3 linked regions of the Lepisosteus oculatus genome follow. The protein of the gene in region 2 purifies or fractionates together with the protein of the main gene of each other region. This does not show direct contact. Links are inferred from orthologs where the notes say so. Each region holds a gene or a part of one and is shown on either strand. Other genes may lie near its edges.

Evidence for each region.
Region 1: the proteins of rcan1a (region 2) and protein phosphatase 3 catalytic subunit alpha purify together in Homo sapiens (affinity purification with mass spectrometry; 5 studies listed by BioGRID and IntAct, counting the BioPlex papers as one, with this or other methods). This does not show direct contact. The link is inferred for Lepisosteus oculatus from reciprocal best matches to the Homo sapiens genes RCAN1 and PPP3CA.
Region 3: the proteins of rcan1a (region 2) and ppp3ccb purify together in Homo sapiens (affinity purification with mass spectrometry; 3 studies listed by BioGRID and IntAct, counting the BioPlex papers as one, with this or other methods). This does not show direct contact. The link is inferred for Lepisosteus oculatus from reciprocal best matches to the Homo sapiens genes RCAN1 and PPP3CC.

Annotation. Positions count from the first base shown.
Region 1 is NC_090696.1:32,554,556-32,565,048, forward strand, and holds the start of protein phosphatase 3 catalytic subunit alpha, read right to left. Parts: upstream 4,219-10,493; 5' UTR 4,213-4,218; coding exon 4,146-4,212; intron 1-4,145. UniProt on the Homo sapiens protein: Calcium-dependent, calmodulin-stimulated protein phosphatase which plays an essential role in the transduction of intracellular Ca(2+)-mediated signals. Many of the substrates contain a PxIxIT motif and/or a LxVP motif.
Region 2 is NC_090708.1:26,438,729-26,449,494, reverse strand, and holds the start of rcan1a (calcipressin-1a), read right to left. Parts: upstream 4,812-10,766; 5' UTR 4,456-4,811; coding exon 4,336-4,455; intron 1-4,335. UniProt on the Homo sapiens protein: Inhibits calcineurin-dependent transcriptional responses by binding to the catalytic domain of calcineurin A. Could play a role during central nervous system development.
Region 3 is NC_090697.1:68,023,758-68,034,306, forward strand, and holds the start of ppp3ccb (protein phosphatase 3, catalytic subunit, gamma isozyme, b), read right to left. Parts: upstream 5,122-10,549; 5' UTR 4,578-5,121; coding exon 4,526-4,577; intron 1-4,525. UniProt on the Homo sapiens protein: Calcium-dependent, calmodulin-stimulated protein phosphatase which plays an essential role in the transduction of intracellular Ca(2+)-mediated signals. Dephosphorylates and activates transcription factor NFATC1.

The sequences.
Region 1 (10,493 bases), on a different chromosome or scaffold from region 2:
GAACTGAGGCAGATCAGACTGGGCAAGGCCAAAGTGGAATTTAGCCAGGAAACCAGGGTTAACACCCATGCTCTTATGAACGGTGCCATGGAATCTTTAACGGCCAAGCACACAGGAGCACAGTTTAATGTCCCACCCAAAACAATATTTGTCTAATGTCACCATACTAAGAAGGCTTCTTTTTTCCGGAGTTTCTCAGAGGAGTTCACGCAGCTCCTCTCAACCCTCCAATCCTAGTACTCAGCACCAGTTTTGCTCAGCTTCCCAGATCCAACAAGATTACATATGCTATAAAGTGCTAACATTACCTCCGGTCATCATACATTTTACAGAAGTCCAAGTTCAATATACACTAAATATAAACTAGCTAAAAGTAATATGATTACACTGAAGGGAAAATATCATTTCAACAGCTGAAAGAAAGAGACCACAAGTAATTAAGCGATTAGAATGCAGACCAGAGGTAAGACATTCACTCGGCACAGTGCAGCACAAACATGAGAGTTTGAGTATCTCTTTTCGTATTTTAATTGTGAGCGTTTGTGAATCTTCTGAATGCATAATGAATGTGTCTTTTTCTGAAGGCGGCTGTTGATGCAGATGGGGACGAAACAGAAGGGTATATGTGCTCGACTCCTTAACTGAAAGCACACAACTGCTGGTTCATTACTCAAGCCTTTCTATTTTCTGTCAATTCTCCAACCACTGCACATTCAACCTTTCACTGATCAATTTTTGCAACAACTGCAATCCTATAAAGATCTAACAAAAGACAAAGCAGCAACTGTCTGAAAATTAAAATGAAAGTACACCTTTAATAAGATATTACATTAATAGTAATAGTATGCATAATCTGGATTTGACAAATTCCAACCTATACAGACACCCATACCTATACAGACACTTAATCACAAGCTAGTTCAATTTTCATATCAGCAATGATAAAATGAATTGGTATTACAACTGTATTAATTATTTCTTCCACACTATTTCGGTTTTTACAGATTGTACTTGCATCATTTTGTAGAATGTCTTGTACATACACAGTTATCCACTTCATAACAAACTGTTAATGGGTGGTTTATTTTAAGTCTGTCAAAATAAGTTACAACTAGCAGTATTTCTGAAATTTCAGACAAACTTTGCATTTAGTGAGGTTTTGGTTGCCCTTAAATCCTGGCAAAAAATGCCCCACAATTTGCAAGGTCCCAATCCTACGAGATAAGATTCTATACAATCATAAAATATTTTCTTCTAGCCTTTTCCTCTTATTTTCATTAATGGTATTTCATATTGTTTAGGACTAGTCACCTAAGAAAATATGAATTTGCAATTGATTTTCTTTCCATACAGTAGATACAACCTTATATCAACAATGCATTTGTTCATAGGGACTGAGGAGTTTAAGTAAACTATGTAAATACAGCTTTCTCAATCATTTTTGAGCTATCTATTTTAGGATCTGTCTTGCAGAGCACAGTTTCAGTAATTATAGCAAAGCTTGGGTGTTCTAATATGAGATTTTAGTTTAAATTTTAAGATCTCCCAAAGCAAATATTTCACTAACTGTAGGAATTTGGTTTTATTTAACTAGCTACCATAGATCTGGAACAATAAAGTGGAACAGCAGGCATAACTTATCTGAGCTTTTCCAGGCCATTATAAAAAATAATGGACTTAAGATAAGAATCCACACTATAGACTTGCCATGTTAATATCCTTTTACTACAATAACCTACGATGTGAAAGTACACCAGATACAACTTTGTGCACTCATTAAATTATAATTTGCTGTACTTATAAATATGTGATATAGATTCATTGGTGGTGTTATAATCAAACCATAATCAAAATCTTAAATCAAAATCCCTTACAACTTGAACTAAGGGTAGTGGTTAACAAGCCACTTTCTTCATGTGAGATCACAGTATCTTCTCTCACTGTAATCCTTGTCCAGCTCTCTGTAACACAGTGTATAAAATAAACAATTTACTCTGCCATTATGTTGCTTGGAAGTGTCAGCTTATCACAATGATATACTGTATAACAAAAGTAGAGCTATGTCTAAGTATCCTGTTGTACAACAGATCAGACAAAAACAAAGACTGCTCCTTTTGTAATCTTAAAGTGTTTCAATGGGAAAACTTTCAATAGTAATCGCTGTGTGTATAGCAAAAGAATTGTATGAATGTCCATTTTGAATATGTCTTTAATATTCCATCCTTCCATTTTCTAACTGCTTCATCCAATTCTGGAGCGAGGGGAAGCAGTAGCCCGTCCCACAGAGCAACTGACACAAGGCTGGATTGCCAGTCCTTCACAGGGTACACAAACACACAACCACAGAGGTGAAAACACTCACACCAGGGCCAATTTACCAGAATTCAATTAACCTAGCAGTATATCTGGACTGTGGGCATAAAACTACACAAACACAGGAAGAAAATCTAAACTCCATGCCACCATGCTGCCCTGTTTTTAATATTAGTCAAAACAAATTGTTTTCTTAACACATTAGAACTTTTGAGCACAAAAACAGGGAATATTTGTAAATTGTACTAATTAAAGACATTGCGATCACATTTTTAACATATAGAGCAATTAATTTGAAATTAAACAGAAAAGGCTCTCAGTGTTGCCCAAATTCCCCATTAATTTGTGTTCATTCCAAAAAAAAATACTTGTTTGGTTGCTCTCTATTCTTAATACTCCTGGGAAATCTGTAACCCAAATTCCAAAAATACTCCTCCACATGGAGTTTTACCTGAGGCTCTGAACAATTGTGGCCTTGCTGTTAAGCTCTTTTTTCCAGAAACAGTCCCCTAAAGTAGGCACAAGTTTTCTTGCAGATTTGCTCTAATAAATAAAAGCTTCACAGTATCAAGGGCACATTATTTTAAGATCGCTTAAAAAACACAGCATTTAAGGTAGAGCAATTTAAGAAGAGACCTTGCAACATGGGGCAGAAACATTTAAGAGAGGCATAACTAATACATGTTTCAATCACTACATCTTTCAGTGTCAGTCTCTTTTGAATCCCTTGGGAAATAAAATTAACAAGAGTACTTGACAACTGGCCAAGGTCTGGACTCACAACCCAGTAGTTGCAATTGGTGTGTGACAAGTAAATACATGGCACAGCACAAGTGACAAAATGAGCTTCAACACTTGGAAGAGAAAACACAGATGCAACAAATGCACCATTCTAGGCTCTAATAGCATGGACGTAAAGTAAACAAGAACGCTCCACTAGAAAAAATAAATTACACTGTACAAATTGAGTTACAAATAATCCAGTGGCCTTTAAACAAAAACCACTATGAATTATTGGTTAACATATCTGTCATTTGTATAGGTTTTAAATATATTTCTTGCTTAATACAGTTCTAGATTTCAAGTGGTAATATATGAATAACATTAAAACAAATCAGCTTGTGGGACAAAAAAAGTACAGGCTACACTGCATTTTAGGTCTACCAACATAATGTAATAAGAAATGGCAGGTGAAATCTCAATGGAGTTTAAAACACACATTAGAAAAATGAATGCTGAATGTCTATTTATACCGTGAAATATACAACCCTTGAAAAGTATTCTGAAATGTCATGAAAGAGTGCCAATGATTCAAGTTATTGTTTCTGTACAACAGGCTTTAACACATTTTGAGGATTTAACAATCACTCAGAAAGAGGGCACGCAGTACTATACAACAAATGAAGTCATGACTTCACTTTCCTATAAGCAAACTCCAATTTAGAAAGTGATAGATATAAATTTTAATTCTTCTCAATACTGACAAGGAAGCATTTTAGACATGTATCTTGTACTGTACATGTTCAAACTACAAATTACAGCTATTAATGTAAAGCCCTCCCTATCCTTTCAACGAAGGCTTAATCTTCACAAGTTTCAAGCTTTTCTTACTAATGATTCACTTTTCATGCCACCAATCTTATATGAGAGCCTAAGTCCTGATAAGCTCTGTCAATACTGTAGTCACATTTCAATACTCACATTTGCAATTACAAAAACCTACATCGCTTTAAGGCTGAACCTGGCAGAATTCAGGTTTCTGCCCTTAAAATAAAACAACCCAACTGCTACAAAATACAAAAACGACTCTTAAGACGGCATTTGTCTTTTACCTCTCTTCGCATTTCCCACTTTATTCACCCTCTCCGCAAAATAAAAAGAAGAAGCCATTGCCAACATTGAGCTCGCCGATTAGATAGAGAGGACAGGAGAGATACACTGAAGCCTCCTGGAAGAGCTGCACAAATTTCAACAGTAAGACACCTCCCAAACGGTTCAGTGTCAAGGAAAAGTGCAACAACAAGAACCACAGGCAGGAAAGAAATGTGACAGATATTAAGCAGAAGGTACAGAACTGGAAGCTATTCCCTGAGCCCCAGTGTCTATTTCAGTCTGCTCCACATTTTAGGGGTTATCGCCAAGCAAACTGTCCTGCCTCCTTGAAGAAATGACTCAAAGACAGTTTGTTAAAAAAAAGAATATGGCAACATACATGTGCAGTCTAGGAAATCTAGTGAGATAAATGAGGGTTTTAATTGATGCGTTTGACCGCAAGCCTCATTCGTCTTGCATACTATTAAAAATTAAAAGTAGGAATCCAGCATTCAAGGGTAATCACTGATCAAATAAATTCAGGTCCAGTTTCAAAAAATAAATTCTACAAACAAGATGGCAGCTTTAGTCACAAAACACAAGAACTAAAGTAATTAAAAACTTTAAAAAGATGTTGACTTTTGGAAGTTAAATACTGTGCATCCTAAAGCACACCAGCAGAAATGCACATCACTTAGAATTTAGTGCAACAATTTTTGTAAAACACAAGCAATCTCACTTTCAATTTGCTATATGGGATGTGTTTTCTCATTAAAACATTAAGACTGGAAAACTGATAGCCAATCGCATCTAAAATTCCTTACAGAAAACAAACCACTTAAGACCAATAGGACAATACGCTACTTCATTGATATGCTCAAGGTCAATTTTAGTTTACAAAACAGTGTATAAAGAGGACAGGTTATACATGATTGCATAACATGCTATGCTACTTATATCTGAAAATAAAAGGAAAATATTAAATAACATTGCCTTATGTGCAAATTATTAATCCCACAAAATGTCTTCATTGTCCTACTTAAACAAGTTTGTTTTATAGATTTCCTAATCCTTTACATTCTTGTTATTTTATTATTATTTTATTTAAATTAAACTGAGATGTAGTAGTCCATGGCTCCAGTTTAAATGATTTAATATGCTCTGACTGGTCCAGCAGAATAGGTTCTGAAACACTGAAACTTATACAATCCTTAATTATCAGACCTACAGTACTATGTAAAAATCTTAAACATCTTACAATACACGTATGAATCACTCACAGCTTCCACTAGCGTTTTATACGATTATAAAAATCTGGTTAATACACCTTAGCTTGGATGAGAATAAACCATACTTATCATTTAATTTAGCAATCTTTACTTTATACAGGGCAGATCTTCTAAATCCCAATCACAGCTCAAGACAAATGATACATGAGAAACCATTTAATAATAGTTGCAGTAGCCTATCAATCACATTAACCAATCAATTCCAATTAAAGCTAAAAGACAATGTTTTGTACTTTAAAATACAAACCTTTCAGTCTTTAACCTTAAAACAAAATGGCTAAAAATTTGAAATGTCATACTATTGTGCTGCTGCACGTAAATGGAAAGTGCAAAGAGCACCACAATATATAATGTCAAAGACATAAATGTCTCTACAGAATGCTTAAGTCTTAGAAACCTTCAGCCTTTCGACAGATAATGTTCTGTTCACAACTGCTCTTTGCTATACATCAGGAAACTTTTAAACCAAAAACAATCATTTCAAATATACATGTAAGGACAGAAAAAACACATAATTTATGGGCATGCTTCAATGAATAAAGTAATCATCTTATACTCTTGCCTGAAAATGATTAACTCACCAGAGCAATTTGAAATTGTGTAAAATGTTGTTTATTCCTCGATTCATGCCAACATAAGGAGCACATAAAGAAAGTTTACTAGCAGGATAAGACCCTATTGCCACCAATCAATGGCTTGGGGGCACTAGTCTCCAACTATGGTACTGGAAAGACTTAATCCAATTATTCTTAAAGGTCACAATAAATCATCCGTTATTTAAAGAACAGGAACACTTGTTTAAACAACAGATTCATTAAGAAAGTGATGTGTAATGAAGGGTGCACTGGTTCTTACCGAAGAAGAATATTTTAATTTTTGTTCCGAATGATCTCTAAATTACTTGGTGAAACAACACCATCTTAAATAATTATAGGGACACTCTGGGACCATGGCTAGAGACCCTAACTCTTGGGTATAACACCCACCAGACCACTATTTGCCAGTGTTTGGTGCACTTACACTTTCCCACCACCAATACAGCAAGATTGACTAGGCAGATTTTAACTTCCTCATCCATATAGCCAACTGTCCTTCCCTCAAAATAAGAGAGTTAAAGCTAAAATATCAATAAGGCATTGCAATGATTTGTCTGTGTCTTCTGAAACTGAGTTCATAGAGTTCACAGTATATCACACCTGTTGTAGAGGCATTAATCAATTAAGACAGGTAAAAGCACAAAGTGAAAAGTAAATCACTCATTTCACAAGTAGAACAAGAACATATTTTAAAGATCAAATCTGAGGTAACTTTGGGAAAAGTTCAATAAAGTCATACATCTGGGGCAATATGCTTCTTTTGTTTTGGATTTTGTCCAAGCACTATTAAAGCTAGTGTTAGCCTTCTAAAACTTTTGTTTCAAACATGTTAACAAACATAAGATCACTTTATTGGCCATATGCAATTTATTGTATTAGGAATTTGTCTTTTTGCATACCCCAACCTGCTCTCCATGAGACACAGAGACACACAGACAGGGAGAGAAACTTGGGGCCAGAGCACAGGGTCAGCTATTTATACGGTGCCCCTGGAGCAGCTGGAGTTAAGGGCCTTGCTCAGGGGCCTAATGGAGTAGGATTCCTCTGCCAGCCACGGAATACGAACCAGCAACCTTCCAGCCACAGGCACAGATCCTTAGCCACAGAGCCACCGCACTGCCCCAATATGTCTAAATATAAATGTCTAAAATGTACATTAATCACCTAAGGAAGGTGTAATATTGCCATTTTGTTTTCGTCCTCGACTAACAAAATAGCTAGAAAAGCTAGAATATATATAGAATGGCAGTGTATCTCTAAGATTTAAATCTTCACAGTTCTGTTTTATAATGCTTTTAGTGATACCTACTGTAAGACCAATGGAAGATTATGTTTTAAAGTGTGCTTAAATTATTTCATATTCATTTTGGCAACAAAGGGTAATAATGGATTGTAGGCTTAGAAGGAGCTCTAGGTCTCTGTAATACTCTGCCCTGATGACACCTCCTAATTACAGATTTTGTGCCATAATTGATATTTCTTTAATTAAAGATAAAAAGGCACAGTGTGTTCATTTGAGTTTAGTTTGTACTTACCATTACATAACATACAGATTAATTAATTGAGCTTTATTGGCCAAAACCCCCATTAAATTTAAAGGTATGGTTATATAATGTTCAAGATATTACTGTTATGCAATGCACAGATGTACAGTATCATAGTAACAACCCTGAAAACCCAACATTATAATGATCTGAAAACTGTAAAACCATAAACCCTCAAAGCTTTTTAAAGTTTACCATTACATATTACAGAATAAATATTTTATTTTGCTATATATGACATTTTAATAATTTAATTAACAGTGTTTGCTTCTACCTAGCCCTTATAGTATACTGACTATAAAATGTGAAAATTTTATTAAAGAAAGCAAAAAACAATTGTAAATGCATGTGAACAGCAATTATTTTCTAAATGAGTCTGATACACTTTGTGTATTTTCTCTACATTTTATCAGTTTTGCTCAGTATTCCAGTTTCTTCCGTGCAAGAAGCTATGGTTTCTTCTTACGCAAACTATGAGGTATTATTAAGGTAAAGTTGTTATAACAACAGAAAACACTAAAGGAGGCTTTAAGGTAATTGTTAATGGCAATACCACACACATATTTCAACTCCTGAGTGTGTCTACTGTTTCTAAGACCTTTGTTAAGAAAAGTATATACAGAATTATTTTACTGAGAAAAGATTAAGAGAGATTAAGACAGACAGGTACAGGAGCTCAAAGCCACTATCAGTTCCCGCAAAAAGAATGTAATGTAGCATAAACTGGTTGGTCAAGGATCCTAGAGGCTTGAATTCAGTATTTGATCAGCTGGGAAAACTGCAATATTTTATTAAGATTTTTTTTCACCTCTTCATATTCCACCTGCTATTTGTAACCCCAGATTGTGCTGGTAGTACCATAATTTACGGTAGATCCTTGTTCATTACATCAATATTTTGATGGCCTTAACCAATACTCACATACGAGTTCTTACCTACATAGTATAAAGACTTTTAGCTAATTTAATATCTGTAAAATGTGATTTTCAGCATGCGAGTGTTTATTTTCATTTGGTTGCAGGTTTATCACTGAAATTATATGTGAACTGCATACTGTATATAATTTCAGTTTAAGCACCTACAGTAAGTCTCTAAACTGAAGACAGTGTTGCCTGTGTGGTCTATCTTAAGTATAATACAAGTTTACCTTAACCTCAGTATTGCATACTCTTATCCAATTTACATTCTTAACCACTTAACAAATCCTGAATGACGACAGTGATAAATTTACTACAACATCCAAATCATTTTCACATAGGTAAAGACACCAACACTGAATCCTCTGCTCTTACAAATGGATTGTTTAACCATTAGCCCCCTAAAAATCACTTTCTGAAATGTTTAATCTGTTACTGGTATATGTACTGTAATGCCAATTAATAGTTTGTGAACACCATTATACCTCTTCGTCTTCATCCAAGGTTTCTTCATCTGTGGTTTTACATGCTTGTGGTGTCAGGATAAGCCTGGTCTGAGAGGCATTCCTGAAGATTCACAGAAGCTGGAAGCTTCTCAGTCCATCTCTGAGGCTCAATTAGGAAATGTGTGCATGTGTTTTCCCCTCGTCACCAATTGATTCTATCCCACTTCATCTTGCTCTCACTAACTGTAAAGGTATCTGGCTTGCTTTACTTAAGGGACCAAAAGCCCCAAATCAACAAAATGTGAAAATTGTGCAAGGACTTAAATACTTTTGTAACACCCTAAGCTTAGGATCTTAAGAACACCACAGTCTGCAGTAGTAAGAACTCAATCAGAATATGGCTTTACTGTTTTATATACTAACCTGATGTAAAATGTTTTCCTTACAACAAGTTGTTAGGGCTCTTGACACATAACTGGTATGCCCTGTGTTCAAATCCCAGGTGGAGCACCAATATCGTACCCTTCGTTAAATTATTTCATTCAGACTGCTGTAGTAAAACACCTGGCATGCTTAAATCCAAATGCATTAAGGATGACATCTCTATCTTGAAAAATGTCAACTTTCAAATCATACCTTAACTGAACAAGAAGATCAGAAGTAGAATGTCAGAATCTGAGGTTTTACTGTACATAGATTTTATGTCTACTTTTGCTGGCGTCTTTTACTTGACAGCTACTTTGACAGTTAATTAACTGAATTAATATGTCTTGCAGACATAATGAATAGAAATCTTTATTTCACTTTTAGAAAACCGGAAAAAATAGTGTTGAGCTGAGTTTCTTTCAAAGAAACAAAAAGAAACTTGCAGATCTGAATGTTCATTATATTAGTTCATCATACATTTGAATTGCAGATCCACTATGAGAAAAAGCATGTTATGTAACAAGCTACATTAAAATATGCAAAAGATAGCTATTCAAAGCATTAGGTATCCTGCAAAGTCATTGATCAATTCACTATACATACGAATTTAATTAATCTCTATGGGAAAAATAAAAGAACTAAGAATAATACCTGGCATCAGGCAATACTAGCATATAGGATATGCTAGAACTATCCAAGTAAATAAGTGAATTCAACTACTGCATTGTAAGAAGCATTAGCAATCACATTTAATATTAAACCCTTTCTGTCATTAAATAATGCATTTCCTGTTTAATTTTGTGAGAAACCTTTTTTTTTTTACTGTTGGCATCATTTTAACGGGAAGGTCCCGGGTTCAATCGCAGGTAGGAGCAAGCAATGTAGCTTGCTCTAATTCCTTCCAGACGGCTCCCAGGTCCACTCAGCCTACTTTCCAAATGAGTAGCAGGGGGGTTAATCCTTCTGGGGGTAATAGGCTGGCTCCCGGACATGATGCTGACCACATCACCTCCACCTCCAGTGTTGGCCCTTGCCCCCCATTCCCCATGGGCCTTTATGGCCTGAAAAGGGACCTACCTACCATCATTGTAACGTGTATTTCTTTCACAACCAAATAAGCAAGCTAGCCTAAACTATTTTACCTATTACA
Region 2 (10,766 bases):
CGGTAAGGTAGCCACGTTAACCACTTTGCCACCATACCACCGCTCATATGTACATCATAAATAAATATCTGCCTGGGGGCTAACAGGGGAAATGGGCAGTATAACTACCAGCGTTGTTTACCTATCAGATCCTGGACACAGATGCGGTGTCCAGTTCATTTTACAGATCACCACCACTTACTGATAAGTGGTAATAGTGCTGAATTATTCAATAAATGTAAGAGGTGGCACGTTGTTGAAACGTTTAGCAAGTCATAACTCCTAGAAGGGACTGTGAGTTCACAGGAAGATCGACCGGCTTCATTATTATAGTTCCTTTTGGTTTTTAGAAAAGGACACTAGGCCGTGGCTCTCTAGGTGTGAGCTAGACAATTGTGGCAAGAGCCGGAGAGGTTCTGGGGAGGAATCGAGGGGCACGCCCTGCTGGAAGGGGTTATACTGCACCCCCCTGCTGCATGTGCAGGTGTTCTTGCTCGCTTACAGGCAAGCAAAAATTCCCAATTCCAGCTGTTAGTGTTTCCAGGCCGTCCAGCCCTGTCCCCGATCCCCGTTCCTGGGAGGAAGGGTGCCTTCCAGCGAGCCAACGATCCGCTCTGTCTCAGCTTGAGCAGCCGGAAACTCCAGAATAAAACACCCTCCACAAACAAAGGCCAATTCACCGCGCGGTCATGAGATTCCTCAGCTCTGCTGGAAAGACAAATAAAGATGTTTGCCGCCTGGAATAAGGATCTCTGAGTCACGTCTCTCCAAGCGAGATGCAAGATGATGAAGTGTTTACTGCGCCGACAACGTGACCCGTGCACAGAAACTGTGAGACCGCAACACTGTGTTTTTTTAAAAGGGGATCGGACCAACGGCGACCACACAGGAACCGGGCTCACAGCAACTTTCCAATAGAGCTTCTGGAGATTTCTAAAGACATCACACAGCCAGAAAACACTGCAGGCACCTGGCTTGACAGACACAAATACGTGTGGCCCTGTGACTGGGTGGAGGTGCTGAAAGGGCACCCACTTTTAAAGACAGCAGGACAGAGATCGGTACCCTCCAAGAGCAATAAAAGCCGGTGCGTCACCATCAGGAGTCCCAGTCGCAGATTCGGGAACGTCAAAGGGAACAGAAATAAACATTCTTCACCTGCACCACTGAAATCTTCGGTCTACAAAACACGTTTTTTCTGCAAGGTTTCCTTCTCCTTCTCTGGCCAATATTTAATTAAGTAACGGATTCTAAAACAGTCTGAAAGACGCCTGCCGTGATGCCGGTTCAGATGGGCTCGGAATCGAACAGCGCACACGGGAAGAAGAGACGTCACTTGCTCTGAATACCGACGCCTGGATTACAGCACAGACTAGCGTTGATCGACACTTTTGGCGGTCCAACCGTGAAGAACGGCCAGAACAACCGAAGACATCTGTGAAAAGATGGTTGATTCTAATAATAACATTACTTTATTAACCCTTTACAATTTCTTGCATTAGGAATTATCTTTTTACATACTCCAGCTTGCTCTCCATGAGACACACAGGTAGGGAGAGAGCCTGGGGTCAGAGCGCAGGGTCTGCCAGTGTACGGCGCTCCTGGAGCAGTATGGGTTAAGGGCCTTGCTCAGGGGCCCAATGGAGTAGGATTCCTCTGCCGGCTGCGGGATTTGAACTGGCAACCTTCTAGCTATAGGCGCAGATCCTTAGCCACAGAGCCACCGCTCCGCCCCAAGCAATGGCGGAAACAACAACTTAACTTGGGCTTGTCTTGGCTTTCAGTGTTTCAGTGCACATATGCAACAAATAATACTTTTTCAATGACGGTATTTCCAGCACGGCAAATGAAGAACTACATCACTGGTAGCTTTCTTGTAAGTGATCTTGAACTTTCTCTTTTTCCCCTTTTAACCCAGGAGAGGCCACCTCTGGGCCAGTGTGTCTGTCGGTTTACATTCCAGCCCAGCTCTTAATGACCTCAATCAATCAGTGACCTGGAACTGGAAAAATGGATCAACTGCCACCGTCTCTTCAGGTGCTGCTGCTTTCAAGAGACGAAGAAATCACAACCAGAGCCTCCTGGCTCAGAGCTGAAACATCCTGCTGTAAACAATTAGTCCAGATCCCAGGCTGTCACCACCATTCTGCAGATAGTCTACTGATAGCACCTCCATCTCCCGCACAGTACATTCCATTCCTGAGTCATCATGGCTCGGTTTTCCATCAGGAACTGGAAAGCACTGTTTCACCACACTGAACACTGGGTCGTACCCGTTACTCAGCCCCTAGCCCTGCTGCCACACTGCCCTGACGTAGTCACGCTCCAGGGATAGAGCCCAGCAGGGGCAGAGCCGGAGCTGCTGCGGGTGACCGACTGCTCAGTTAAGGGGCAGTCTCGAACCCAGAGCGCCAGTCTGTAATAGTTGGCCACCACTCGTCTCGCACCCTGAGCCCACAAGGGGAGAAATGGAGAATCCAAGCTGGGCTCCTGGAGCTCTTTCTGGGCTAGAACTGGTGGATCCTTCCCCTTCCTACCTCAGTTCAGCACCCTGCTCCTGCCCCTCACCCAGGGAAAACACACGACTCGCCCAGCACCTCTCCTCCACACAGACGCTGTGAATTTTCCAGCAGCTCAGCAGGCTGGTTGTCCATTTCTTATAGTTCCCACCCAGAGCTCTGCCCAGGTGCTGGGTTGAGTCTGACATACTTCACTGGGTCTTTCAGGAGACATGTTTCCTCATATAACACACTCTCGCGATTTGAGAACCACAGAGACACCCCCAAAAAAACCTCAGGTAGCCCAAGGCATCCACCCGGTAGCACATGGACCGCAGAACTTTGTTTAAAGGACAAAGTTTGTGCCCAGATCTTTTCTCCAGGATTTACAGAAGTTCCTCCCAGCACAATGTACACCAAGGATGAAGAATCAGTCCAGGTAGGCCTATATGGTTAAAACACTGAGTGTCGTGTCAGAACCAAGCATCGGTTATGTCACTGTATTCCTCTGATGTTTCTATCCAAAGAAATCTTACACTGGTACAGGGCTAGATAACCTTGCTCAAGGGTACAACAGCATTGTCCTACCTGGGACTTGAACCCACAACCCTCTGGTCTTGAGTCCTTAGTCCTAATCACTGCTCCACACTACTAGACACACTAACCCAGGGCTCCTCTGTGGCACAGCATGACAGAGAGCTTCCAGATTTGAAGACAGGTGGGGGGGCTCACACCCTGCCTGGGGGCCACAGAGTCTTAATTGATTAAATTACCCCACACCCCCACCCCACTGGCTGGTTCAGAAAAGAGCAAATCTATTTCTATAAAGTTATGAAAAATGATATTGCTACTCTGGAATCAGTCCAGAGAAGAGCTGCCAGATACACGCTGGGGCTGAAGGGAGTGTCCTGCACTGACAGGCTGAAGGAACTGAACCTTTTTAGTCTTGAACAGAGAAGACTACAACGGGACCTGCTTCAAGTATTCATAATCCTCAGAGTCACTGAGAGGATCAACCCAGCGGACTTCTTAAGAAAGTGACAACATATAATAGGGGACACAAGTGGAACGTACATGGGATTGCACTTAAAACTGAAAACAGGGGGTATGTCTTTACACAAAGTGTTGTGGGAGTGTGGAACAAGCTGCCCAGCCACGTGGTTCAAGCTGATCACCAGGTCTCTTGCAAGAAACATCCGGATGAGATTTGTGGATCAATTAAGCACTAAGTATAACATGGAACAGACAGGCACCACTCGTTTGTAACCTTTCTGATAATGGACACTTGAATTGAGTCCTCAACCTTGTCAAAGGTAGGTGTGGTGACACCTCTGTCCTTTAAAATATAAAAGGAAGTTAAAACTCAGGCACAGAAAAAGTTGACACACAGCGAGATATATTTCAGAACCTGAATCATTCAGTGCAACCATTCAGTATAAAGGCATTTATTTTCACCGTTAGCCGTTTCACTATCCTTAACCCGGACACAGCAAAATGTGCTCGTCCTTCAAAATAGTCGCGCGTCACCTCAGGGTCTGCAATTTTCCAACAAAAAAAAAAACAGACGAGTTGCGTTTTCCCTGGAAAATTAGAGAGCGCATGATTACCTATTAGGAATGTGCACAACAGGCAGATCGGCTCAGGTTTATCATGCGTAGATAACTTAGAACACCCTGTAAACGGGGGCTAACCCCTCCCTTTTGTGGTGCATGAAACTGAATGTTGTGTTATTAAGTGACACTCCTGGCTGCAGCTGCTCTTACCGGTCTCTGTCAAAGGCGCAGACGTGTTTGTGTTGGTGCACCCCCACCACCACGATAAGACGCACAGACAAGGAAAACCGCTGTTTCATCCTCACCCTGAACTGATGGTCCAGAAAGACGTCCTGGTCCACCTTGCAGGCGATCAGCGCGTCGGGCAGATCAGTGAAATGGACATCCACCGTGGCCTCCTCCTCGCTCTTCTCCTGCTGTAGCATGACGGGCAGGCGGATGGTCAGACGCGTCCCCCAGAGGCTGTGCACAGTTCCCCACCCAGCGAGCCGCCGCGACAAGAGCCGCCCCTGCTTCCTCCAGATGCTCAACACATACAGCGCACCCCGAATGAGCCCGTCGCACTTTCTTTCTGCTTGCAACGGAACTCAGCGTGAAAGAAAAAAATAACCGTAGTCTGTCAGGACCGGTTTTCTTAAAGACATATGCAACTGTAGGGCCGTGTTAAGTAGATCTGACGGGGAGCTCGGCTAGACCCTTGGCCAAAATCCGTCAACATCTCTTTCCGTCATGCTGATGACGTCCAATTTCGTTTCCCAGTTGCGCTGATGCAGCGCCTCACGAACTTCCTGTCACACCTCCCTAGCCATGCTCCGTCAGTCTGCCCGGTAACAGCGACGATTTTGGTGGCTTGGTGTTGTGCTTTTTCTTTTAAAGTCATATTCTGTTGGGTTGAAATATTCCTTCCGTTTTCGCCACAGCACGTACGAAATAAATCGGTAAAAAACCTACGAATTATTACGAATAAATTAAACTGTGCAATGCCCTGTGTGCATGTGAATTAATTCTAAAAACGGCGCTATTGGCATGCAAACCTCGGAACCTTTAACAGCTTGCGACCAGAGCCAAAACTCTTCCTGCTAGACCTGCGGAGTCACTTGGGACACATTCTGGTTTGCGGTACCCGCTGTGCCGCTCTACAGAGCACTGTGGTGAAAACATAGTAATTCGAAGTAAACTGATATGAGCTCATTGGAAGGGTGTGGCAGAATACAGCGTCAGGTAGAAACTATAACACAGTCCATAACACGTCATTTAAATGTGCAGTGCTGACTGTAGTACTGAGATGTTCTATATTCTAAAGTGTCCTGGCATCATTAATGTAATCTACCAGAACAGTGTCCCAACACTAACAACAGGACCCTCATTTGCAGGAGTTGCTCGGAATCAGGACCCTCGCTACAAACATACATTCACATTAACAGATATAACTGTTATTGCTATTTTTTTAGAGAAAAAAAAAGACTCAAAATAAATTGCATCTTTTCGGGTTTGCATCTCTTGATTTCACTTACTGCTGGGATTGGGGGTGAACTCCTTTGTTTCTGGCGACCTCTTGTCAAGAAAACCACCTAGTTTTCCTTCGTGCTCGTTTCTTTCGGTGTCCCTGTCCGTCCAGCGCCCACGCTAGTTTTAACACGGGGTTGGCGAGGCCTTTAACGTTCGCATCAAGAGTTTTCCAGAGCCATTAATAGTGAAAAGGAATTGTTTTACAGAGGTTAGTCAGAAAGGGCAGATCTTGTTGAACTCACTTATTTCACTTCTTTGACTTGCATCAGAAATGGATGCCATTAGAGTGTATGATGTAGTACATTTAGTTTTTTTAATGTATTAAGTTTCACATTAAATAATAGCTCTTAAATTGAGCAAGATATGTGCACATGGACTGGTAACTAAATAAAAGGATAAGAATAACTATCAGGGGAGACAATTAAAACGGACCTGCCCCAATTTGTGGGGTACCTCAGAGATGTGAGTTTAAATCCTTGCTTTTCTTAATTTATATAACCACATTTTACTCGGGTTTACCTAACAGACCTGTCAGATTTTGTTTTTCAGGATTCCAAAATACAAGGAGTTGGGAACTACTGCAAACACTGTAGAACCCGGAAAGGCAAATGCAAATCAGAATAGAACTGGATACTCCTCAGAACCAGGCTCAGCTCATACAGGTCCAATAAAATGTGATAATAATAATAATTGCTTCCACTTATATAGCACTTTTCTGGACACCCCAGTTAAAGCGCTTTACAGGTAATGGGGACTCCCCCCAACCACCACCACTGTGCAGCATCCACCTGGATGATGTGCCGGCAGCCATAGTGCTCCATTACGCTCACCACACACCAGCTACTGGGGAGGAGAACAGAGTAATGAAGCCAATTCATAGATGGAGATTATTAGGAGGCCATGATTTGTACAGGCCAATGGGAAATTTGGGCAGGACGTGATGCAGACCAGTGTCAAGCAGCAGAAATACACATTATAAGATGGGTGACACAGGTCTTGTGGCTGTGAAAAGGAACATGAGTGATCAGGTAGCCTCATCGTTTTCCTCCCCCAGGAGAGAGGGGTGGTAGAAATGATAACAGAATGCTGGGATAGATAATGAACTGAGTCAAATTAAAATCAAGGAACGGTATTCTAACATTCTACTGAAATGTATTAATATTAAAATTAAATGCTGGATCCCCTCTAGGCTGCCAGTTCTAATTAACATCCATCCATTCATTTTCTTACTGCTTTATCCAGTACAGATGTGCAGGGTAAAAAGGAGCCTATCCCAACAAGCAACAGGCACAAGACAGGACACACCCTGTACAGGATGCTAGTCTACTGCAGGGCAGACGCAGACACTCACACCAGGCCCAGTTTTCCCAGAAGTCAATTAACCTGCCAGAAGCTCATTGCACTGCGGAAGAAAACTGGAGCACCCTGAGGAAACCCCACATGGACACAGGGAGAGTTTGCAAATTCCACACAGATAGCACCCCACATCTGGAATTGAACCCAGGGCCCCAGAGTTGTAAGACAGCAAAGCTAACCACTGCACCACCATGCCTCCCACATTTCAATTTCAATTGCAATAAAATTATTATTCCAAAAAACTACTATAGGAATCACGCGAGTACAGTGTCAGAAAATATGTTGCTGGCTTCAAGTCTGGGAGCTGAGCTTTTCAGCTTCATAGATGAAACTAAACTAACAGCCAAATGAACATTAATAAAATATTAACCATCGTATTTAAAGGAGCTTTCTAGCAACTTATGTTAATTATTTTTATTAGTATTTATCTCCATTTATTATTTACTGTGCACTTCTTGAATGCACAGTCGTAATCACTGTTTTTGTAACTTACAGCATTAAGTCACAGAACAACGTTCTTATATTACCAGTTCGGTCTTGCTGTCCAGTTTTCAGTCCTGTGTTGTCACTCAACAACACTAGACAGCCCTCTAGTGGCTTGAAGCTGTATGACAACTCTTTCAGATGAGATACCCGAGATGTAACCGGCAGAACCTCGGCAGAAAGAAAAAAAAAGCTGTCTGCTCATCAAAAAGATATCACATACACCGAGGAAAAAATAAATATATGTTATTTCATTTACATCTTATAGGAAATATCGGTGAAGGTAAACAATAATGTTAGGATATGTAGCTAAAAGTGTGCAATTTAAATCAAGGGATTTTAAATCCTCAGGAGATACCAACACTATTAACTCAAGCTGATGTCTTCTGAAAGACGCAAATTAAAAAGAGACAGAAACAGGCCAAAAGTGAAAAGCGCGTTTGAACCTAAGAGCGTGAGGCACAAGGCGATTGTGGGAGCAGGAAAAAAGATGGCCATGCTATTTCACCGATACTGACAGGGCTATCAAAACTCTGGAGTGACAATGCGCAATATTGAACTTTATCACACTTCTGTTTGTTCATTGATATACAATTGCGGCACAAATTATTTTCCATTATTTCTACAGTACTTTTGAAATGATTTTCATAGTGTACTTATACCCCTTAACAGACAAACTAAAAAAAAAATCTATACTTGTTTTATATATGTGGCATTATTTATAATCAAAACTGAGCAGAAACAGGCCGCAATGATGAACTTGTCAGGATCCACAGAGCCAGGTGGATTCTGCACATTGTTGGTGGTGGAGGGGAGTCCATTACCTGTAAAGCGTGTAATTATTATTCTTCCTTAATGGCAACCGAAGAATTCACCTCACAAACTGAACCTTTGAGCACACCCGTCTCTAGAGAGCGCTGTTTTTTTTTATCAGACGAATGGAGTGTTTCTAACTGCTGATATTAAACACCTACCACTCAATCAGAGAACTGTCTCCTCTTATCTGTTACTCTCAAACCACGGCTTTTCTCAAGACAGCTTTTCACGTAGACAGGAGAAGGTATTCATGTATCAATTGTATGAAGACCCCAGTTTCAGGGATTGGATTGAATTTGTGTTTCAGATATCACAGGGGCATGGTCAAAATGTCGCAGTGATAAAAAAAAAAACAACACATCAAATGCTTGTGTATTTGTAACATTTTCTGCTTGATTTCATCATGAATTGAATGCAAAGGGTTTGCTGCTACTAACACGTGTTACCTAAGATGTAACCAGCAGAAATAACAGCTGGGGTGGAGTCTCTGACACATTGTCATTCTAGTATATGTCTGCTCATCATAAAGATTCAGGTGGGTAGCTGCGTCAGCATGCGTAGGCTGCAAAGGAACAAGTTATAGGTTTATTCCATGCTGAAAAAAAGAAGAAAGAGAACACAACGCTTCGGCCGTGGAGCCTTCTTCAGGTGTGAGAGAGACAGGGCAGTAGACAAAGGTAAAGTAGTGGGAGAACAAAGGTTGGGAGGGAGGAGGAGTGAGAGGCGGGAGCAGGGGACAGAAAGAGAGGCCAATCAAGAGGTGTGAAGTCAGAATGGGTGCAGAGAGGTGTGAAATGAAACTTCCAATGAATGGAGAAAATTTAAAAGAACAGTAGTCTGTCGTTAAGGGAAGGGAGAATGTGTGATCCTAGCTGCAGAATAATTTTAGTTTCGGCCGAAACGTTGTGTTCTCTTTCTTCTTTTTTTTCAGCATGGAATAAACCTATAACTTGTTCCTCATCATAAAGATATCACATATCTAGAGCAAAATGGACATTTACATGAGACTGTTTACTTCTTGCAGACAATGTGGGAAAGGAATTAAAAAGGCGCCCCAAACGTTATGATATATAGTTAACAGCGTATATTCTAAAACAAGGGATGTTATGTTAATATTGTATAATACACTGGTTAGGGGTCATTTAGAATAGTGCAAGCAGATGGCTGTGTCACCATGCGTAGGCTGCAAAGGAGCAAGTACAGGTTTATTCATGGCTGGAAAGAAAAGAAAAGAAACACGTTTCGGCTGTGGAGGACACGCCCGAAGAAGGCTCCACAGTCAAAATGTTGTGTTTTTTTTCTTCTCTTTTCAGCACGGAATAAACCTTTTCCTTTTCTGATTCAGAACAGTGCACGATTTTGAGACACCAAGTAATAAAAAACATTGCTGCTCTGGAATCAGTCCAGAGAAGAGCAGTAGATACTCTCCTGGGCTCAGAAGAATCAGAAAGTCTCTTCCTGACAGACTGAAGGATCAAGACTCAATTCCTGAGGGAGAGGCAGGGATTCCTGGTCTGGTAGGATTCTTCAAGCACACCTAACAGAACAGAACTACTCATTTATACCAGAGGTGTCCAGCTCAGTTTGTTGAGGGCCTTGTGTCTGGTGGTTTTTGATCCAACCTGAGTAGTCCACTAAGCAATTAACCTAATTAATTTCTTTATCAGACATAAACATATTTTACACATAAACATAAACATTTTTTCTAAAAATACAACTCAGTAGAGTACAGTTTGTTATAAAACACCTTCAGGTCTCGTTAGATTATTCTGTTAATGAAATAATTACAGCAGTCATGTAACAGAGTTCAAATAAAATAAAAACTTCAGGACACTAGGTCATCCAGAAGTTCAGTTTGTCACACACTCGTTATACTTTGAGATCTGAGTTTCCGTCAGTGGGAGAAATGCTTGTATATTAAGTATCTCCAATGGAGAAGTCCTGATCTGAACAAGAGCAGAGCCTGTGTGCTCACTGCCAGAGCAGAAGTGTGTCGACAGTTTGTTTAAACTTCCTTTGCCCATTTCACAGAAAGGCAATTTCTACTACAGGCGGAGTCAGTACCGATCAGCACGGAGAGGAGTGCTCTCTTGACACACAGAAAGCAGACGTCATTTAAAAATGTTTACTAATCCCTGCAAGAAGATGAAAATTAGTCTGGTCTTCACAAGTGAGTATGGGGGAAAAATCTTTACTGGGCTTCACTCATTTCTGCTGCAGAGAGAAGGAAGGAGATCTGCCATGTACACACAGCAAGGGGTGCTCTTTCTGACCCTTGCATAATAAAAACTGAATTATGTTGTGCAAGGAAAAAGCAGGGTGTTACTAAAGGTTTTGTAAAACAAGTAGTGTAGAGAGTTAGGTGTTTACAAAAAAAAAGACTACAGAACCTACAAATCAATTTTTACATTTCATTTCTGATTTCCAGAAGTGTAAACATTGATCTTTGTCTTTTTAAGAAATGTTTTGTTTGACAACTTGGAAAATGAAACGGTTTGATTTCGGTTGCAGGTTTGTTTTTTTGCAGCTTGTTTGTTAACTGTGTGTCACTGACTCCTCACACTGGGGAGAC
Region 3 (10,549 bases), on a different chromosome or scaffold from region 2:
ATGCACAAACTTAGCTTATCTTTCTATTTAAACACTAAAAAGTCACTCCCCGCCCCCCAGTGCTCACACTGTCCTTGCCTTGACGTGTCCAGTTTCAAAGACCATGTGGGATTCCTTCTGCCGCCTCATCACAGATGCACTTAAAATATCGCTCTGAAAGAAAATGATCTAGGAGGGATAATAAAGGGAATAACATTTCACTTGCAGAATTAGTGTGCCATGGGAGACTAATCCAAAGCGAAGAGCTAGGGTAATGATTTTGCTTTTAATTATTCAGCTTTACTTATTTGCACATTTAATTATTCATTTGCGTGTCTGTGAATTTCAAACACCAGGGGAGCCTCTGGAAAGACAAAAGTCTTGTTAAAAGATGTTCACCTGGGAAGACATCCAGTACTGCACTGTAGTACCATAACAGCCAACGCTTGACTAATAGGGCAGGTGAGCATACCATGTGCTGAGGTGGGGAATGTGTCACCCACTGGAGGATGAGCTTGTATCAATCATACAGACAGCTCACTTTTAGTTGTATGCCTCCTAATTTGCATGTTTGAAACTTCAGAATTTCATTATTTAACTCAAGAGGAATCTGACAGCACAAGTTAAACTTTGGCAGCATTTCAATTTACTCTCAGCGTTGATGGATACATTTCGAGGAATCAGAATGCAATGCAAACAGACTGAAATGACTACACAAAAGGGTTTCAAGATCAAATACCTTTCCTGAAAGTTTTTTTTAAATAAAAAAAGTTAATGACTGAAAACTCTATCAATTAAAATTCAAATCAATAAAGAAAACCAACCATCATTACAAAGCGAATAATATAATTTGCATTAATTTTAAGTTTTACTATCAATTGCTGTAAATTAGAATTTGACCTGAAGTTATAGAATACTGCAAGGGATCTTTGTGGAACACTGCTAAGTTCTTTCTACTGCTGGTTAAGAACTGTACTTTCTCTTTAATTTCCTTGCAGCACTCGAATACATGGCCTACATTATGAAAAAATCATTACCCTTTTTTACCACTTATTTGTAGACCTACCTAAATGCTAATCTTTCTAACTTGAAAAGGCTATCTTTCAGAGCTATTTGCTCAAGTGTGAACTCCCGCACTGTTTTCCATTTACAAATGGAAGCCAAAATTATAAGCATTACATTGTTCATGTAAGATTATGCACCAGTAAACGTCTGCAATTGTTTACAAAAAAAATCAGGAGTCAAATACAAAAATCACCCTTTAAAACACCATGCTCAGCCAATGTAAAACTGGGAGCTCGCTCTTCTCAACCCAACCTGCCCACAGTATAAATTTCTGCCTTCTACAAGACCATCAGCATGAGGCCGTGTTTTTCATAAGCTCATGCTGATCCTGTTTCTTCTTAGCTTTTTGAAGGTTAACTTTTCCTCCAAGTTTAAGCTTTTCATTTTAATATGAATGGTATTACAAAGCGTATTTCAACAAACCTAGGTTCTGTAACTGATTAAATCCTCCTTTTCAGACCTAGGGTACACCCTGTCTTCTCAGTCAAACGCAATACTTTCTCTCTTGTGCAGTGCAGTGCAAGGAATCACTTGCTTCAAAACCCACGGCAGCTCTCCTCATCTGCCGGTGCTAAGCTGAGGTTTGTATTGTCACAGGCTTCAAGAGCTTAGCCCTCACCTGGAGTTTCCCGATCCACAGACAAGACATGGAGAGAGGAAAGGGTCACCATTAGATACAAGGAATCAAGATCAGCTCCCCAACTCTAAATCCGAGCCAGAAGGAGAACACAAAGGCTGGAAAGATCTCCAAAATCTCTCGGAGGAGGGCACTTATTATAAGGGAAGCCATGGCACACTATATCAGATGTTCATTCTCTGAACATTGTTTCATCTCTTTGGCATTTTTTTATAATAAGATATGATTAGAATCAGAGTTAAAACACGTTTGTTTCATAAAGCACTGCTTTATTTCTTTAGCCAGTGGGAGTCGTGCTCAAGTAGTCTCATATCACAGTCTTTCCAGACTATCGCAGTCCTTTCAGATTTTACACTGCTTTGCTTTGTTCTCCATAGCTTGTACATAAAAAATTCAATATGCAGCCACTGAAATGAAGCAGATACCCACAAAACAAAACTTCCATTAATATAGCCCTTAATGACAGATCTTTGCACCCCATGCTTAATATTTTATGTAAAATAAAATCAATAACCAACTACATTGATTACTAACTCTGTACATAAGCAATGAAACAGTACTTTCCTCATTCTTAACTATTAATATTAAATTAATTTAAACTAATTTTTAATTCATGGACATGAAAATATTTTAGAAATCCTGAAGCAAATGTAATCTAAGCAAAACTGGTAGACACTCTACTTCCTTCTTCAGCACATGAAATTACAAAACAACCTCTATATCTAAATTACCAAAAAGGTAAAAAATACAAAGATTTATCCCCCTAAGAGGATGGGAAATATCAGTTCAGTGAATTCCGTGATATTTGCATCTTTCTATAGATTGTTCTAATGAAACAAGAATCATTAATATCACTAAAGTGTTTCCCTTGCTGAACACATGAACTTCCCAACACTAAAGTCTATATTAATGTTGTATTTAAAAGCTGTAACGAAGCATTTACTGACAGATTGGGCAAACTCACAGCCTCCGTTTCATTCCTTTGCAAACCCAAATAGTTTTATTAATGAACTCTTATTAACTTATCTGATTCTGTCACTGAAAGTGACTAAAATAACTGAGGATTAGCCTTGCCTCAGACAGAGATGTGAGTGCCAAGGTTGGCTGTGCCCGATTTATTCGTTAGTTTCAACGTGATTAATCACACAATCTTTTACGGCAACATCCCTGAATCAATTAGCATGGATAGGCGTGAATCCCACACTGATCCAACAGTGGTGTCAGAATGCAAACAGCTAGCTCTCTTGGAGCAAAACAGAAAACATCCCCACCTCTGTCGCTTCAGGGTGTGTTTTCATGGCATGCACTTTAAAGAACTTCTACCAACACCTCCCCCTCCTCCATCTTCTGTTGCCCTTGTGCTCTGTCATGTTTCCTTGCTTCAACATAAAACTTGAGAATTAACACACCCTATCCCATCCACAACTCTGCCTGGTTTTCTCTCTTTCATATAGTAGACGTGAATGAGTTACCACTCCATAAAGAAAAAAACCTTTTTGACTCAATTTTATGTTTTGTTACAGTCAAGTCTTGTACCCTACATGTAAAGTATAAAAACTGCCCAATTTATCACCTATGAAAACGGCAAAAAAAAGGTTCACATGCAGCTTTTGACTCCACTGTCTTGAAGAAGGCTGTTCTCCTCACTGCCGGGCTTCTGACGTTTAAATCGCGATTCATTCAAATCCCACGGGACTCATTTCCTCTAATAGCCTTTCCCAATTACAAATCGCCTTACGACCTCTGCTCGGAGATGTGCCATAGAAGGCAGCATTTTACACTCGTTCCAGGTTCTAAAAGAATGCAAAAGCTTCCAAAATGGAAGGGAGTGCGGGCAATACTGAGCCTATTGAAATGATGCATTTTAAAAGCTTGGCGCCAGTCGCAGGATGGCAACCTGACGGAGCTGGATTTTTGTTGATGTAGTTTTGTTTTGCGTTGTGTTCTGACCCAGACAAGGCTCATCCGAGCCCGTTCACCTTGTTACACTTAGACCAGATGGGGCAGTAATTCTTCACATTCCGTCAAGACCTCTTAGCGTCAGGACTGCTGGTCAAGGCGCAGAGCTCAACTGCCAAACAATACTGTTCACCCCAAGCCAGCTGGCTGTTATTCCAGCAAGACAGCTCTGGATCGCTAAATGCAATGTATTATTAGAAATTAGCTTAGGAAATATGTCTTACATGACCTAAGCTATTTAAGCACACACTCAAATGCACGACTACACTATACACGTTTGCAATCATAACTTCAATTCAATCGGACAGCAGTTCTAGGGGATGAATACGATTTTTCAGAGGTCTGCTAAACTGAAAGGCAGATTAGAACTTCTTCCGTACAAACGTTAAAGCAGGACAAGTCATTTGTACAATTGGACAAACCAGAAAGAAATAAAAGTAGTATAAAACGATAAATTAAATAATAATACGTTTCTTTTACTACCGCAGCTGTGTTTTAAGAGTGCTCTTAAACGGCAGCTGGTTTGCACGATGAATGGAACCAAAAACCTGTTTCAAACCTCGTGTGATATAAATACACGTACGATGGGAAACATAACCAGCAAAGTTTAAATGTTCGTTGAAATACGCGACGTAGCTACTGTAGATGGCTAAGCTTGGCATTTCGGACAAGACGATACACACCGCAGATTTACAGCCTGTACTCGACTCTGGTTGGGGGGAGAAAAATGTATTTTTTTACAGCTAGCCGACCCCGATCCTGGTGTGACACGAATGCATGTCCACGTTGGATAGCTTAATTATTGCCGTGCTATTTAGAAAACCCGCCCTAAACGAAAACACAAACAGTAAAAGTTGCTGTTCCGTGTTAGAGAAGACCACTTACCTTTTATAATCCGCTCGGTGGTGGATTGCTTATTCTGGTCTTTCCCAGACATCTTTCACCTCGACTCACCTCAGGAATTTTGTATTCTAATATTTCCCCCTGCGTACGCTTATTCTGTCCTTTTTTATTTCCCCTCGAATTCAAATCCAGCAAACCAGGACAACCCAAAATGGGAGTTCCTTGGTTAGTTAGGAGGTGAAAAAAAATGTGAGGGGAAAGGGGAAAGGGGGGGAAACCCACTTTACTCGACGAAATTATTTTTTCCTGACAAATTTTGCTCTCCCCTCTCTTCTTTTTCGTTAGCTATCCAGCTGCTGTCAATTTCTGTCACAGAATCAGTCCAAACCAGCTAACTTAAAAAATGTAGCCAGGAAAAAAAAAACGGTTTTGCAAATCCACTCTCCCAATTTTGGCGAGTCGAAGTCTTTTAATGCCACGGTGTTTAGCTGCTGGGTTATTTGACTGTATTTCACTGCTTTCGGGCCTATGTCTGCTTTAGGGTTTTTTTCTTCTCTCTCTCTCTCTTCGCTCTATCTTCCAGCCTCTGTCCCTGTTCTCTCGGATTAAACTCTGTAATCCCCCCACAAGCGGATTTCCTACAACATGGCGGCAAGAAACTCGTGAAAGCAATGGCTTTTGGGTAAAGTAGTCTTGATACCGCAGGGGAGGAGAACTAGTACCGTGCTCGAGTCACAGAAAATACTACATTTCCCAAAAAAGACCTGCATTATCGTATTTGATTAAAAGGGTGCCACCGTGGATTTCTGGGAAATGCAGTTTAGGACTTCAGTACTGTTTTAAATGACAGTTCACGTTTTGAACTACATATTCCAGAAAGCGCTGCTTTAGACACAAACAGTATGAAGGCCTTCGGGAAGTTGTGTTTTATTTAACGTTGGCGGTCTTTTGACTAAAATGACAATGATGTGTGTTCTGCAGCTTGAATCGACTTTTATGTTCCTGAACAGTATTCATTGTCTAGCACTAGAGATGGTGCTTAAATTTCAGATTTCGATATCAGATTTACAAATTGCAAAACCATTATAAATCATTCTGTAATATCCATACACTGTAAATTATATTCCTACACTTCAGAAAAGTTGCATCTGTTCAGACCCACAAATATGATTTGCAACATTTACTGACAGAAATTTAGAAATGTGGAATTGTGAATTTACACATACAATGGTGATAAGTGCAGTGAGAATGCTGAAGTTCATTTTTAAGCACTTTTCAAATGAAGCAGAAACTCAATGGTTGTAATGCATTCTTGGAATAATGATGTCATGGATGTTGCGAGGTGAAATGACCAAGTCGTTGAAAGGCCACTCCTCTACTGATGCTGCCAAGTGCCAATACCACTCAAGATCCAGCAAGATCTACTCAACCACTCATAGGACTATCAAGATGGTCAACACAATGCATCACGTCTGCACAGTAACAGTGATGGTTAACTCAACTATTTCTTCAGGCACCCGACAATATGGTAAGAATGAAGCAATGTCATTTGGTTTTGTGTGTGTGTGTGCTCAACAGAAAAAAAATAGCAAGGGTGGCATTCTATGTCTTATTTCATGATGGTAGAGCATAGTATACTGTAACAATCACTATAAACTGAGGTCTAAAGAAGCAGCATATGGGGTGGTTGGATATTTATCGTCACCAGTGACAGTATTTGTTCCTGAAGATTGACATAATGTAATGTAGTAGGTGACATTCAGACACCAGAAACTGCAAAGGAATCCATCTTGGGTAAGCTAGAGGATATCCATTAGAACATAGCTCAAACCAGTAAGTCTTAAAGATGATGGTATAATAACTATTTCTAGGGATCAGAAGCTCTTGTTAGGCTAATGATCTCCTGAGCAAGTAGTTAGTCATCTTAAAGGAAGTCTGGTCTTTAAGGGCTAAATATTATTTAGGTTTTTTTCTGTTTCAAGCAATCTTTAAATAACAAAGTACCTACTCAATGAATAATAAAACTTCCAAATCTTTATACATTGATGTTTTAATGAATTTAGACTAAGAAGGAACACGGCTTCTTCATGGTATCTGGATCGTACAAGAAAAGGTTCAGCAATATTTATAGTCTCAAAGGACAGTACAAAATCAAAAGATGGAACACACCACTGAGGTTTAATGTTTTGCCATTGTCTAACAATTTCCAGACATGGGGCTTAAGAAACAAAAAAAGCAACAGATTTAAATTGAATAAAAAAAGGCCTTTACTAGGGGAAATATACAATAGAAAAGCTAACCAGGTTTCTACAAATGCACTAAAGAAGAGACATACACAACATTTTTTTTTACTTTCTCCTAAACACTTGTATGTCAATTTAGCTTTGCTCAGCAGTATTAAATAAATATTTAAATACATTTTAAGATGCTTAAACTGCAGGCTGTTTCCTATCCCTTTTTGTTCAGCACAGATCCTCTCCCACCCCCTCCAGTCATCTTAATGGGAGAGGTAGTAAGTATGTAGGACGCGTACATGTAATAACACATTTGCTTATTTTCAGTTTGAGCACCAAATCCTCAAAAAACACATTGAAGCTCTTGACAAGAACAACCTAAAAGAAAGTTGAGGAGTTACACATAAATTGTGCTCTCTGGAGGATAACGGTTTAAGACGTCATTCATAATAAGGGCAATACAGGACTCTTGGATTACTGTCAGTATTCCAGTATTCTTCCAGTTGAATACCAGGTATGTTATACCTTGATCTTTGTAGAGATAATATATACAGTTGTAAGAAAAAGTTTGTGGACCCTTAGGAATTATATGGATTTCTGCATGAATGGCTCCTAAAATGTGATCTTCATCTAAGTCATAATAATAAATATAGTATTATTTAACAAACAACACACACAACATTTTACATAGCCATATTGTTATTGAACAAATGGTTTTAACAATCAAGGTCATTGATAGAAAAAGTATGTGAACCCTTATATTTAGTAAGTAATGAAACCCCCTTTATTGGCAATAATCTCAACCAAATGCTTCGGTTAGGTGGTATTTAGGCCCATTCCTCTATACTAAACGGTTTCATTTCATGTATAATTTTGGGATGTCTTGCTTGAACAGTCTGTTTCAGATCACGCCACAGCATTTCAATGGGATTGAGGTCAGGACTCTCATACAGAAGAATACGGAATTTCTTCTGTTTGAGCCACTCTGTTGTGGATTTACTCCTGTGTTTTGGATCATTGTCATGTTGCATGACCCAACTTCTTTTGAGTTTTAGATCACAGATTCCCTGACCTTCTGCTGTAGAATATCCTGATACAACTTGGAATATATTAGTCCCTCAATGATTGCAAGCTGTCCAGCAAAGCAGCCCCACACCATTATACTCCCACTCCCATGCTTCACAGCTGGGATGATGTTTTGGTATTGGTATATGGTGTTTTGTTTTCTCCAAAGAAAACGCTATGTACAGTATATTTACCAAAAGGCTCACTTATTGTCTCATCTGTCCACAGAACATTGTTCCAGTAGTGATGTGGACCATCCAGGTGGACTTTAGCAAAGTTGAGACAGGCAGCAATGTTTTTCTTGGAGAGCAGTTGTTTCCTTCATGGTCACCTCTCATGAACACCACTCTTGTTCAGTGTTTCTTATGGTAGACTCATGAACACAGACATTATCAAGTGCAAGAGATGCCTGCAGATCCTTAGCTGACACCCTAGGGTTCTTTGTCCCCTGTTTGAGGATTTTATGATGTGCCCTTGCTACCAGTCTTTGTAGGATGCCCACTCCTAGGGAGAGTAGCAACAGTGCTGAATTTCTTCCATTTGTAAACAATCTGCCTGACTGTGGACAGACAGAGGTCCAGGTCTTCAGAAATCCAGTCTTATGAGCTTCAACAACTCTTCTTCTGAAGTCTTTTGAAATCTCTTTCGATGAGGCCATATTGCAGTTCAACAGAATTCTGTTGTGAAGAGCAGGTAACCAAAGTTGAGATTTTTTTAATATGGCAGGGCAGGTCAAACCCACACCTGAATTGATTAGAACACCTGACTCCAATTACCCTCTTTTCAAGATGTCATTATCCTAGAGGTTCACCTACTTTTCCCATCAATGACCTTGACATTTGTTCAATAAAGATACGACAATGTAAAATGTTGTGTGTGTTGTTTGTTCAATAAGACTGTCTTTAGTTATTATTAAGACTTAAATGAAGATCAGATCACATTTTAGGAGCCATTCATGCAGAAATCCAGATCATTTCACAAACTTTTTCTCACAACTGAACATTTGAAACTGGAGATTGGGTATCTAAAAAAAAAAAAGAATTTTGAATGTGAAACCAAAGCCTGCTGAAGACTAAATAAATCAACAGGCAAGTAACATTGTGACTCCCATTCTCTCCTTTTTCAAGAACTCACATTTTGGTTTCTCCATTTACATTTTCAATGATTGTGCATCATAAAGTCTCCAATGGCATTGAAGCCCGCTCCCAAAAATAATTCAACACCTACAAGTTGCTCATTCAGTTGATGTGACTCCATTTAGATGAGAGCTAAAGGTTTTTCTGCTACAAACAATTGTCAAAATTTGAAAGCTCCATCATCTAAGAATATTGATAAGAATACACATTCTAACAGGCTACAGAAGAGATTACAAACTCTTCTAAGTGTTCTAATAAGGTAAGGGTGCTAAACTAATCACAATGCCTCTAATGAGCAGAAACTGTAATGTAAAACCTCTTAATTTTAGCTTATTCTACTAAAACATGACATGCAGCACCTTGAATTTCATCAGGTTAACAATTTGGTAAGCAACATTGTAAATCAAAACTAAACTGAACTTCCTATAGTCATGAGGGAAAGTACTCAAGAGCTGCCAAATGATTAGCGAACATCGTTGGTCTATAGAAACTTTAAAAACAGTTTGACACAGCTAATTCAAAACAGAAAACAGGCTCTATCCTACAGCATTTTGTACATGACAAAACTTGTACAGTGTAATCTATGTAATGAGTTTTATATTTGACTTCTTTACAAGATATTCTTGTAAAGTAAAAAAAAAGTGAGAAGAATGGGGCTCTTTGGGAGATCAACTAGCCTTTTACCGCATTTCAGTTATCTTCAGTTTGACAGGGTGGTGGAAGCATATTTGATCACATTTAAAACTCGGTCTGGAAGCTGGACTGCAAAATTCTCATGCATGCTGTTCATTTTGAACTTTACAGAGACGAAAGAAGACACTGGGTAGCATCTGTTCATCCATCCAACAAGTGCCTCAAAAAACAGCAAGTGACCAAATGCCCCACCCATACCAAAAGGTACTTCTGATAAGCACTGCTAGATACATTTACAGTACACAGACTCTGCTGTTGACAGCCAAGCGCGGCAAACAACCAAACCGTCCATCAGCCAACACTCATCCAAGCATCCAAGCGTCCAATCCAGGGGGATTTGAGCAAATGACAAATCTGGTGCCGTTCTAGGTTCAGCTGTTTAAGTCTTCGATTTAATTAAGTGATAAATAGGGAGTTTCACATGTCTTATAAAACTGTCAAGTTCTGTGAAACTACTTTTTTAAAGTTTAAAACTTAGTAGTTTAGAACTTTAGAAAGTAGTTTCAAACTACTAAGTTTGATAAAACTACTGAAAAGCTATCAATTTCAGTATAAGTGCACAAAATCCTTTTCTGCCTCAAAGCATTCATTTTTCCTTTCCTTGAATAAAAACTGAATCATAGCCCTTTATGGGGAAAAAAAACCCCTGGGAATCACTATGTAGAGTGAATTAGCCCTATGGGGAATCTCTAGGGAGATTATTGTACATCTTTTACTATTTAATTAATAAATAACACCTTGCATATATAAAAGCACTTTTCATTCTTAAAGATATCAAAGAGCTGTGCATACAGAAGGGATCGGCTTCATCCACCACTTGGGTGGCAGTCATTGTGTGCCAGCAACCCCAGTAAACAGCAGATCAGGCACAGCAGCAAGAATCTGTTCAACTCAGGTGGTCAAGTTATGCCAGTTCCTGCAAGCTGGAACACAAGGGT